Linked DNA regions of Mus musculus. The protein of the gene in region 2 purifies or fractionates together with the protein of the main gene of each other region. This does not show direct contact. Links are inferred from orthologs where the notes say so. Each region holds a gene or a part of one and is shown on either strand. Other genes may lie near its edges.

What was found. Proteins that work in one complex are often made in the same cells at the same time.
Region 1: the proteins of Prkar2a (region 2) and Akap8 purify together in Homo sapiens (affinity purification with western blotting; 3 studies listed by BioGRID and IntAct, with this or other methods). This does not show direct contact. The link is inferred for Mus musculus from reciprocal best matches to the Homo sapiens genes PRKAR2A and AKAP8.

What each region holds. Positions count from the first base shown.
Region 1 is NC_000083.6:32,317,493-32,323,169, forward strand, and holds the start of Akap8 (A-kinase anchor protein 8), read right to left. Parts: upstream 3,747-5,677; 5' UTR 3,612-3,746; coding exon 3,593-3,611; intron 3,564-3,592; exon of another isoform or gene 3,415-3,563; intron 3,373-3,414; exon of another isoform or gene 2,966-3,372; intron 1,318-2,965; coding exon 1,279-1,317; intron 387-1,278; coding exon 354-386; intron 1-353. Other genes in the region: Akap8l (A-kinase anchor protein 8-like), read right to left, coding at 4,000-4,293, 4,404-4,499. UniProt on the Homo sapiens protein: Anchoring protein that mediates the subcellular compartmentation of cAMP-dependent protein kinase (PKA type II).
Region 2 is NC_000075.6:108,743,518-108,748,650, reverse strand, and holds part of Prkar2a (cAMP-dependent protein kinase type II-alpha regulatory subunit), read right to left. Parts: intron 4,422-5,133; coding exon 4,356-4,421; intron 3,170-4,355; coding exon 3,028-3,169; intron 1,791-3,027; coding exon 1,657-1,790; 3' UTR 1-1,656. UniProt on the Homo sapiens protein: Regulatory subunit of the cAMP-dependent protein kinases involved in cAMP signaling in cells. Type II regulatory chains mediate membrane association by binding to anchoring proteins, including the MAP2 kinase.

The DNA of each region.
Region 1 (5,677 bases), on a different chromosome or scaffold from region 2:
TCAAGACCAGAGAGACAGGTGGCCACAGATTGTAGTAGCAGGTTTTCTTTAAGAGACAGAAGGACTTGTTTCCTAATCAAAGATGGCCAAGAACCTCAGAATAGCAATTCCAGGTACTAACAAAGACATTTGAAAAGTGTTCCTGCACTATATCCACAATCCCTCTCAAACAAGTTCAAACTCCCCTTCAGGTCAGCCTAGCTCTGATACGCCTCAGGGCCCAGCAGCCTTATTCTCCGGGCTATCGACAGAGCCATGTGCACAGCCAGGATGGGGGAGTGGGGACCTGTACCTCTGGATGGCTGTTTAAAGACTCACTTGCCCACCTCAAGGTCCCTTTCAGAAGGTCTTACCTTGCCAGCTGGTCATACCACTTCCATATGTACCTTAGGAAAAACAAAAACACATAAGCACTTCAATACCAGTTATTACCTAAGGACAGCTGCCACCTCATTGCACCACAAGGTGGGGTGTGACTGGTTGTGTCAGTGGTCCTTAGCATGCTCACGTTTTACAGAACAGGTACAAAGCACCAATAATATTTCTCTCCCAGGCAGGCCTGACTTCTCCCATGAAAGCTTAGAAAAGAAAGGTACACAGCAATCCCCAAGATGGTGGTCTACACTACAGTACTAACTGAGAGGACAGGCTGCACTGGACCTTAGAAAATCCCCTGCATAAATAAGCTCAGTTCTCACCAAACCTAGTTATTCCCAACCATACCTAAGGCATCAGTGGGAGTGGGAGGAAATCACATTCTCAACTGAATAAGAACATATTATGTGGCAGAGGTGTCTGGAAGACCTTTTCACGGGGCACACAAAAAAGTGGCTTGCCTCCAATGGTGCTAGGGACTTGGCCTGGGACAGGTTCTAGACTCAGAAAATAAGGGTGAACAAAAGCCTAGGCCACATCTAGCCTACTGTCTGTTTTTGTACTCTTGACTTAAAAACAGGTTTTATCTCTCTAAATGGTCACAAGAAAAGCACCCCAAGACAAACGTTCCACAATATGCTAAACATAATAGGAACGCACAGTTTGTGTATACAGACTAACAGGGGTGCATGGGTGCTACTGAGGCCTGTGGTGGCAGGTAGCAGAGTGACACAAGGAGCATTCTTCTTACTAATCAGCCTCCGCTCCCATGTAGTACTGTTTTTCCTTAAAAAGAAAAAAAAGGCAAAATGTCCCCTAGGGAAGACAGATGCTGGGCTCTACTACAAGGGGGCATGCAGTGGAGAAACCCACAAGCCAACCCATTAATCAGGAACCACTTACCCTGGGTGTTGGCAGGTCCAGCACTCCATGCCCCATAGCCTGTGAAAAGATCATGTGTCAAGATTCTGTCCTACCTCAAGGAAATAAGAGTTCTGATAACACCCAAAGAGTCTAAAGAAGTGTCAGCTTACAACGAGGGAACGTAAATGTGATCCAGCGCACCTCCTCCAGCCTTTAAGAACTATCTCCACCCACAAATGCAAGCAAACCATCATACCTTACCTGGCTGAGCTGACATCAAAGCAAAAAAAAAAAAAAAAAAAAAAAAAAAAAGGGGGGGGGGGTGGCGGGAGGGAGGGAACCAAGTTTAGAGGACACAAAACACAGCATTAGGTCACAGTGCCCACTGTACTGGCCTAGCCGCCACATAAGCGGGAAAGCTCAGAGTGCTGCCAGTTATGCCACGAAACTGGGAAACAAGCTAGAAATTCGGTGACATAAACGTTAGGCTTTGCTTCCATGTAACTAAACACTCAACACCCCAGCTTTCAAGCCTCCCTCTGACCTTCTAAGTCACCCCCTACAACACTCCTTTGAACAGAAAGGGAATACATTCTCTTCATTTGTGTTTTTGGAGCCTAGCATATAGTCCGATACAGTGGCACAGTCCCAGGCTGTCGAATGACTTCACTTTGACAGTGTTAATGGTTAGTTCCCTTTCCAGAATATCCCAAAAGCCCCACTGTAACACAGTCCCTTAAATGTGCTGACAGGCACTCAGTACGGCCATACCTAACTGCTACTTAGAAACCAGGGAGGGGCTGGCCAGATGGTTCAGTGGTTAATCGCGCTGACTGCTCTTCCGAAGGTCCCGAGTTCAAATCCCAGCAACCACATGGTGGCTCACAACCATCCCTAACGAAATCTGATGCCCTCTTCTGGAATGTCTGAAAACAGCTACAGTGTACTTACATATAATAAATAAATCTTAAAAAAAAAAGATTCTTTTTCTTCTTCTTCTTCTTCTTCTTTTTTTTTTTTTTTTTTTTGGTTTTTTGAGACAGGGTTTCTCTGTAGCCCTAGCTGTCCTGGAACTCACTTTGTAGACCAGGCTGGCCTCAAACTCAGAAATCTGCCTGCTTCTGCCTCCCAAGTGCTTGGATTAAAGGCATTCGCCACCACGCCCGGCTAAAAAAATTCTTAGTTAAAAAAACAAAAAAACCAGGAAGGCTGCAAATACCCTAACTGTATCTGTAAAATTATTGGCTGGTAGAAAGTGGGAGTCACCATGAAGTTCCCTAGACCAAAGAAGTATAGCAGGGTTGTGACAGGTATCTATCTGGTGGAAAGGCTAAGAATGGAAGACATAGATCTAGGATCCCAAAGGCAAAGAGCACTAGGCTGATACCCAAGCACACGTGTTCATCACACCTCAGGCCTCTCTGGCAAGTCCAATTCTAGGGATCTTGTTACTCTGCTGCCTCTCAAGATCCCTTCCTTAGCCGCCAGAAGCCACTAACCACTCCCTGTGCCCACTTCCAACCCCATTCCACATGTTCCAACTATCTCCTGCGGGTAAATCTCCGTACAGAGTCAAGGCCTCCCAGGAGATTAAAAGCAGATAGCTCGAGAACCGACGCCTAATTACGAAAAGTTGCTGACATTTAGGTTAGGAAAGGCAACGTTCCCGCTTCCGCAGACCCCCGTAATGTTACAGTCCAGAATCCCAGCCCCTCAGGCAGCACACCTCCCACGAGCACCTCACGCCGCGTACACTGCAGAGACCCAGCCAGGTTTTCCCAAAAAGCTGCACCGGGTGTAGCCGCAGTGCACAGCTGGGCCGATCGCGCGCTGCCCGTAAGCCTTCAGAAAAGCGAGCCCGGGGACACGAGCTCTCAAGGACGACCTGCGGAGGATGAGCTGAGACTCTCTCCTCGCTACGGCCGCCGCAACCCAGCCGGACCTCAACCCCCTCCACCCCCCGCTTCCTCAGCGTTCGCTTTAGCCCCGCCCCTGGAGCCGCCATTTTGTGGCGTCTTCGGAAGAGAAGGCGGGACTGAGACCGCTCGGGTCCTGGGGTCCCGCAGCGATGAGAGCCACTCGGCTTGCACAGTGAAAGCGGTCCAGAACGCATCCAGAAACCGGCCACAGCGTCGGCCTTCGCGCCTCATCCGCACCCCCCGCCCCGAGTCCTACCGGCCAATCCACGCGCGGCGCTTCGGGAACGATTGCGCAGAGGCCCAATAAGGGAAGCGCGCGCGTCCGGGACAACTCCACACAGAACCGGGCTGCGGCAAGTGCGTTCCGGCTGCAGGCTAAGCCCGAATACCACATGCGCCAGGGTCTCCCGTGGTGAAGAAGAGCCCACACTAACCTCCGTAGCCTTGCTCCATGTCTGCGACGCGACCCGCCAGCAGATCCTTGTCTTAGATTCGCTCAGAACGCATGCGTTCAACGTGCTGTCTGCTACTGGAAGACGAAGAGCGTACGTCTCTTTCTGGGCGCTACCATTGGTTGCTCAAATGGGCCCGCCCCCGCCGATCCGCCCAGCCTTCCGGGTTGCAAATCTACAGCATCTCGGGAGTTGTGCCTCAAGGGTAAGCTAGTGCGCAAGAGCGTCCAGGTCCGCGCACGCGTGAGCGGTTCTAGCGCGTTTACCCGCGCGCAGGCGCACTTCTAGGGGCCCGCCCTCACCACAGCACAAACGAAGACCTCAGATGGGAAAGCACTTTATTAGGCTGGACTTCCAGCCTCGGCCACGGGAGCCCTGCCGGGTAAGGGTTATGGACCCCCACCGCCCTCCTCGTCGTCTTCCATGTCGAGGCCCGGGATCCCGCGGATCTGACACTGCAGCGCTCCGCCCAGCAAGGGTACAGGGCTCTCCTCCTCTTCTGGTGGTGGCGGAGGTGGCGGTGTTGTAGTCCCTGGGGCGGGCTCCAGGGGCACGGGGGGCTGTGCCGGCACGCCCTCTGTGAGCTCTGTCGCTTCGCTTGGTGCCCCTTCATCCAGAGCGCCAGCCTCCACCTCGTCTTGTTCCTTTTCCTCCTCTGGGTTGTCAGTGAAAGGATTCTCGCCCTGTAGAGATGGATAGAGACTTTAATGGGAGGTAGGAATCACTGGGATAGAATGGGGACCAGGCTCACACAAAGGTCAGGACTAGGACAGTGCTTTCGCCTTTGCCTCACCTTCAGATATCGCTCCAGCTTCTTGCTAATGAGCTTGTTGTTGAGAATACTGCGGGCCACCATAAGCGAGGACTTCTTGGACTGCTCCATCATAAGCTATGGGCAGGGCAGACAGGGCTGGTGAGGCTGCTCTAGGAATCCAACAAACCCAGCTGAGGTTCAGATTCACCAATAACTAGTCCTAGTGTCTGTAAGTGACCTTGGGCGTAATTCCAGTCAGTCTGGACAGGCATGCAAGGAACTAGGATTCGATCTGATCACCCACACCTTATTTGCTGTTTGAAACCTGATCTGCTTACATAGAAACTATAGTAAGTACTGGACTTAGTGGCACAGGCCATGTAACTCCAGGACATTAAAGTGGAAGGCCTACCTGGACTACAGAGTTTAACGGTTTACATGGTTTGACTATGTCTCAGAAAATAAAAGACGGCTGGGAGCTAGAGAGATGGCTCAGCGTAAAGGACTTGTTAGTATTTCAAAGACTCAGGTTCATTTTCTGCCACCTACAAGGTGGCTGACAACAATCTCTAATCTAGTTCCCAGGAATATGAAGCCCTCTTCTGGTTACCACAGGCACCAGGCATGTGAATAGTGAGCATATGTGCAGGCAAAACATACAAGAAAATAAAAAATAAAAAAATAAAACGTAAAAAGGGGGAGGGGGCCAGCTGGAGATAATATAATAATTTGATGATAGAGTGCTTTCTTAGTATTCTTAAAGCCTTAGTTAGGTTCAATCCCCATATATATACACACACACCAGATGTAATAAAACTTATTAAAAGTAAAACGTAGGGCTGGGCTTGGTGGCCCATATCGTTAATCCCAGCACTTGGGCGGCTGAGGTAGGAGGGCAGATCTTCCTGAGTTCAAAGCCAGCCTGGTCTCAGAGCAAGTTCCAGGACACAGAAAAACCTTCACTGCCACCCCCCTCCCCTCAATTCCAGTGACAACAAAAAAAGTAAAATGTAAAAACAATAAAGGGTCTGGCAAGATGACTCTGGGTAAAAGCACAGCTTGGCAAATTGAACCCAATTCTAAGGTCACATACAATAAAGGAGAGAACCAACTCCTGCAAGTTGTCCTCTGACTTCTACACACATGCTACCTCCCGCCCTCCCACAGATACACAGACATACACATGCAGTCACCTAGGAGCAAATTGTTTAGAACCAGTAAAGAGGGTATAAAAACAGCCCTAGCAATGCACACCTGTAAGCCCATCACTTAAGAGGAAGAGAGGACTGCTGCAAATTCAAGGCCACTCTGAC
Region 2 (5,133 bases):
GGAGCCCAATGCACCTCTTACCTTTGCAAGAAATCAGGTGTTATTCTGTCAAAGTACAAGGCCTGATTTATTTAATAAAGCAATACCATAGAAAAGGACCTTAGGAAAATTCGGGATCACTTTGAGGGTTTTCCAGTGCTAGCTGCCTGCTTCATAGTAGTAGTTACGACTGTACAATTCCCAGATCTGTAACGTAGGCTACTCAGATCAGCCTGGAGAGTCCTGCTTTTACCTCATGGAACACAAGAAAAAGTGACTAATTACCAAAATTGTGGCAACTCACCTGCTTTGGACATTTCTTGGCTATGGTGACCATGGCAAAAGTCGAGACTGTTACTTAGAAAGGCCTTCACAGTAATTCCACATTTCTACATGATAACTTGTCTTCCTGTGGCTGTTACAGTGCTGGAGACCAAACCCAGAGCCTTGCACGTGCCCCGTGTGCTTTGTCACCGAGCTGCACCCAGCCCCTACCCCCAATGATACCTAGTTTTGAAAACGGATATTTAGGACAAATGCCTGAGTCAGTGGACAAACTCCATGTATATGAATACATCCAAGGTGAATTCTCTAAATAGAGAAATAATTTCCTTAAAAAAAAATAGCTTCTTTGTTAAGAGTTTAAAAACTGATGATTTCTAGGCACGCTATGCAGTAACGCTAGAAGGGAAGGAGTTCTCTGTGCAGCACAGCCTCCTGCTGGCTTCCCGCTATCAGCCAGTGAAAGGGACAGGCAGGGCTCACTCAGGGAAGTACTCAGGTCAGATAAAGTGACAACACCTCCAGACCCTGGCTCCTCATATCAGCACCATGCCCTGACCAGCTGAGCTAACCAGCCACCCCTGGCTCCTTAGAAAAGGATAGCAATTTGTTTATGTAAACAGCACAGAGGTTAAACAAAACAAAACAAAACAAAAACCTACTAAATACAAACAACAAAAACCCTAACCCAGATAACCTTTCCTGGCTACTACTGGAAAGAGTGTTGAATCCAAGTTTCCTGCTAACGTGAGTCTTAGTACTCAATCTGCCCATACGGATCTGCTGGGCCTCTTTCTGAGTTTAGACACAGCTGTAAAGTGTGTAGCTGCCAGCAAATGGTACAGAGCCTCTGGGGCAGAGACCTCCAGTATAACTGCTACCACCTTCCACTGTGAGAGTAAAGCAGCATTGTGAACACACTGTGGACTTTCTAAAAGACAAACGAGACGGAAGGCTCTACCATTTTCTCCCTCGAGAAGGACTGCGGAGGTGCTGTCTACAGCTACTCAACAGGTGTCTGCAGACCTTAGAACTTTCAGAAGCAACGTTAGCAGCAAGAGAGGAAAGGAGGGTGTTACGCTTTGGACTTTGAATCAGGCACTTAAATTGCTGGAGAGACATTCTGAACCAAATGTGAAACCTGGGTTGGAGTACTCATGACATAAGTGGTCTAATGACGGCGTTCAGAAGCAAAGTGGAGGGTGGGTGTGGGTGGAACCTCCATCCATCTTTCAGTGCTGACTTTCAAGATTTCTAAATGCCCTTAACCACAGCAATGGCAGCGGCGGAGACAGCAGCAGGAGCGGTTCTGTCGTGTCTGTTTTCTGTGTGTGTTCTTGTGGCTGACTGGAAGGTTTTGGTATCACACTGAGAAGGCTCCAAGATTCATCACATCTACTGCCCGGGGTCCATCAGATCCAAGTTGGAGCCAAACATCTTCACCAGCTGTTCTTCGTAATGTGAGATGTTCCTCTTCATGATGTCCATGCAGGGGCCCAGAAGCCTCTCAAATGCTTGAACATCCATAACTGCATTGTTAAAAAAGGTGTGGGAGAGAATGATTTGTTTACAGTAACAGTTTAAGTAATTTCCTGCATGCAACCCTTTTCCTAAACACACTACTCGCTCATGTTACAGGAGTGAACGTTAGAATACTGGGCACATGGGAAAAGGGGAAACGGGTGCTTCTGCATACTACAGCAGGAGGCATCTGGGTTGAAGATTAATGGCGGACAATGCTTGTCTTGTTCCTCCACAGGCCTGGCCACCTGCCTCCATCACTGCTGCTTTCATAGGCCTGTGTGCTTGTGTGTCTGTGTGCCTGTTTGTGTGCCTGTGTACCTGTTTGTCTGTGGGCCTGTTTGTCTGTGGGCCTGTGTGTCTGTGGGCCTGTGGGCCTGTTTGTGTGCCTATGTATCTGTTTGTCTGTGTGCCTGAGTGTCTGTATGCCTGTTTGTCTGGGAGTCTGTCTGCCTGTTTGTCTGTGTGCCTGTGTGTCTGTGTGTCTGTTTGTCTGTGTGCCTGTGTATCTGTGTGCCTGTGGGCCTGTTTGCCTGTGGGCCTGTTTGTGTGCCTGTGTATCTATGTGCCTGTCTATCTGTGGGCCTGTGGGCCTGTTTGTCTGTGAGCCTGTCTGCCTGTTTGTCTGTGTGCCTGTGTGTTTATGTGCCTGTGTGCCTGTCTGCCTGTGGGCCTGTCTTACTCACAGCCTGGATTCATTGCTCAGAAATGATTTCTAGGGTACTGGGGTAGAGCTTTAGTAGCACAGCATGTGCTTAGAATGTGCAAGGTTTTAAGTTCAATGCCCAACAACTCCCAGAGAGAGGGGGTGAGCTTTGCTATAAGAATTCATTTACACAAACTATCCAGACCTAGAACTGAACAAGAGTCATCAGAATAAGTCAGGCCAGTTACAGGAAAGACAATAAAACCCCTGTATATTAGTAATGCACAAAGAATTTTCTTTTCCATGTTTAGAATGTTTATTAGCCTATTTCAGCCATACATGATAATGGTTTTTATCATGGTATCTTCACACATGCATGATTTTGACCATGTCCATCCCTCACTACCTGCCGCCCACTCTCACTCCAACCCATCCCCCTTCTTCCCAGCTAGTTCCCACCCTGCTCTTCTGATTTCATGTCTTTTTGGGAGGAAGGGGGAGATAGAATTTAATCAGGATTATGTCTCCCTCCTCCAGCTGCCATTAGTTGCCTAAAGTTGGAGTAGGCCGTGGAAGCCCCTCACAAAGCTTTTTCTTACCTAAGCATTTGACATCTCCAACCGCGTAAGCGGAAGCAGCTCTGGGTTTGTTGGTGACCAGGGCAAGTTCTCCGAAGTACTGCCCCTTATGGCAATGGGCAATCTCGACCTCCTGGTTCCCTCCATTCTTGTTTGACTTGGTCTGCAACAAATAAAGAATATGATCCTGGCTGGCTCTAGGATCACAGATGGGCATGTCCAGTTGTGCACACTCAAATCATTTCTCAGAAAGTTCAACAAAACTACTAAGGAATTCGCATGCAGAAACTCTTGCCTGTACCCTGTAAACTTGGACAGGCAAATCTCTGTGACCTGGTACAACTGAAGGGTGGTTTTAGCTGGGTCTCCACCTAGGCCATAAGATGTTAGGTAAAGGCTAAGCATGCAGTGTCTTCTGTGGAGATCACACACTCTGGGAGATGTGACCAAAGCACGGCTGAAGCCCAATAAGGTCCCCTGCTAATTCTTCTGCTAGTCACGAGCCAAAGCACAAGAGCACTGGTTGGTTTGAGGCAGCCTTGGATGGTTTTGGGGGACAACATTTCTTTTAAAGAACTTTCTGCACTTCCACCAGAGCTGTGTCTCCATCCTTAACAAGCTGACTGCAGCCTTCAAACATCTGTGCTATGCTGCATCGCTACACTGGGATTGGTTTGGTTTTTTTCTTTCTTTTCTTTTTTTTTTTTTTTCCTTTTTGGTTTTGAGACAGGGTTTCTCTGTGTAGCCCTGGCTGTCCTGGAACTTACTTTGTAGACCAGGCTAGCCTCGAACTCAGAAATCCGCCTGCCTCTGCCTCCCGAGTGCTGAGATTAAAAGCGTGCGCCACCACCGCCCGGCTACACTGGGATTCTTATTTCTTATGAATCCATTTGCTAACAGTAACAACAAATTATGAGAATCAGCCTCTGGCTCTAAGAACCACGAATGTTATAAGCAGAAAAGCCCCTGCCCCAATTGGTAACATAGTCTCACTTTCTGGCTCTGGCTAGACTGAAACTAGTTATATACACTAAGCTAGCCCTGCCTCTTGAGTGCTGGGATTACAGGTATGCGCAACCATACCTGTCTAATTCTTTGTTACTTTACTTGTGTGTGCCTGTGTGAGCACGCGCAGATGGACTTTATTTGTGTGTGCGTGTGTGAGCACACACACATGCACACATGCACATGGGTACAGATATCCATGAGGTCCAGAGAAAATGTACTAAATCTTTATTAGTGGCAGTTCCACACCTCAGAGAGCGATGGCTTGGTATTCTTAAGTACAGGCCACACTATGCAAAGTAAACACTGGTGGGAGAACATGTACACAGCACACTCACACTCACCTTGCTTCTAATCAAGATGCTCACTTCCCCAGACTCTATGATATAGAAGCTGTCGGCCTTTTCACCCTGAAAAAGAGGAGGTTAGGTCAGACTCATGTCCAACACTGAAGACTGTCAGCACTGTCTGCTCTCAGACTCTATCTCCAAGTGCTCAAGTGGATCAATGGCTAACAAACTAAAGGTTTCTGATCAGTAAGGACATTAACCTCATTATGACTAACACTTCTCTTCCATCTTACACACTCATATTTATCTCCAGGAATATGCCCAGGTCACCAACTACACAGCATCTCTGCTCTGACTGCCTATGTTGGTGTGCCGAAACCCATTCAGGGGACCAGTAAACAAGAATACAGCAAACAGTGTCAAAGCAAGGCCCAGAGTATGAGGTGTAGGAATAACCTTGATCAACAAACACAGTCCTCCAGAAGAGAAAGGGAGAAAGCTCAAGCACTGCAAGCCAGGCACGATGACCTGAGGTTCAGAACCTGTTTGGGGAGGGAGTGCATGTCTGAAATCTCAGTGCTGGGGAGGCAGATGCCTGGGGTGGACTTTAGCAGGCTGCAAGCCAATTAAGAGGCCTTAGTTCTTTTGGGTTTTGTACCCCTCCCCTGCACTTCTTCTTCCCATAGGTTTCTCTGTGTAGCCATTGCTGGCTGTCCTGGAACTTGCTTTGAACAGCTTGATTCTGTCAAAAAAACAAAAAAAACCTGAAAGACTTCGGTGTTACGGTTTGGAGGTAAAATGTCTCCCAAAGGTCCATGCATTTGGTCCCCCT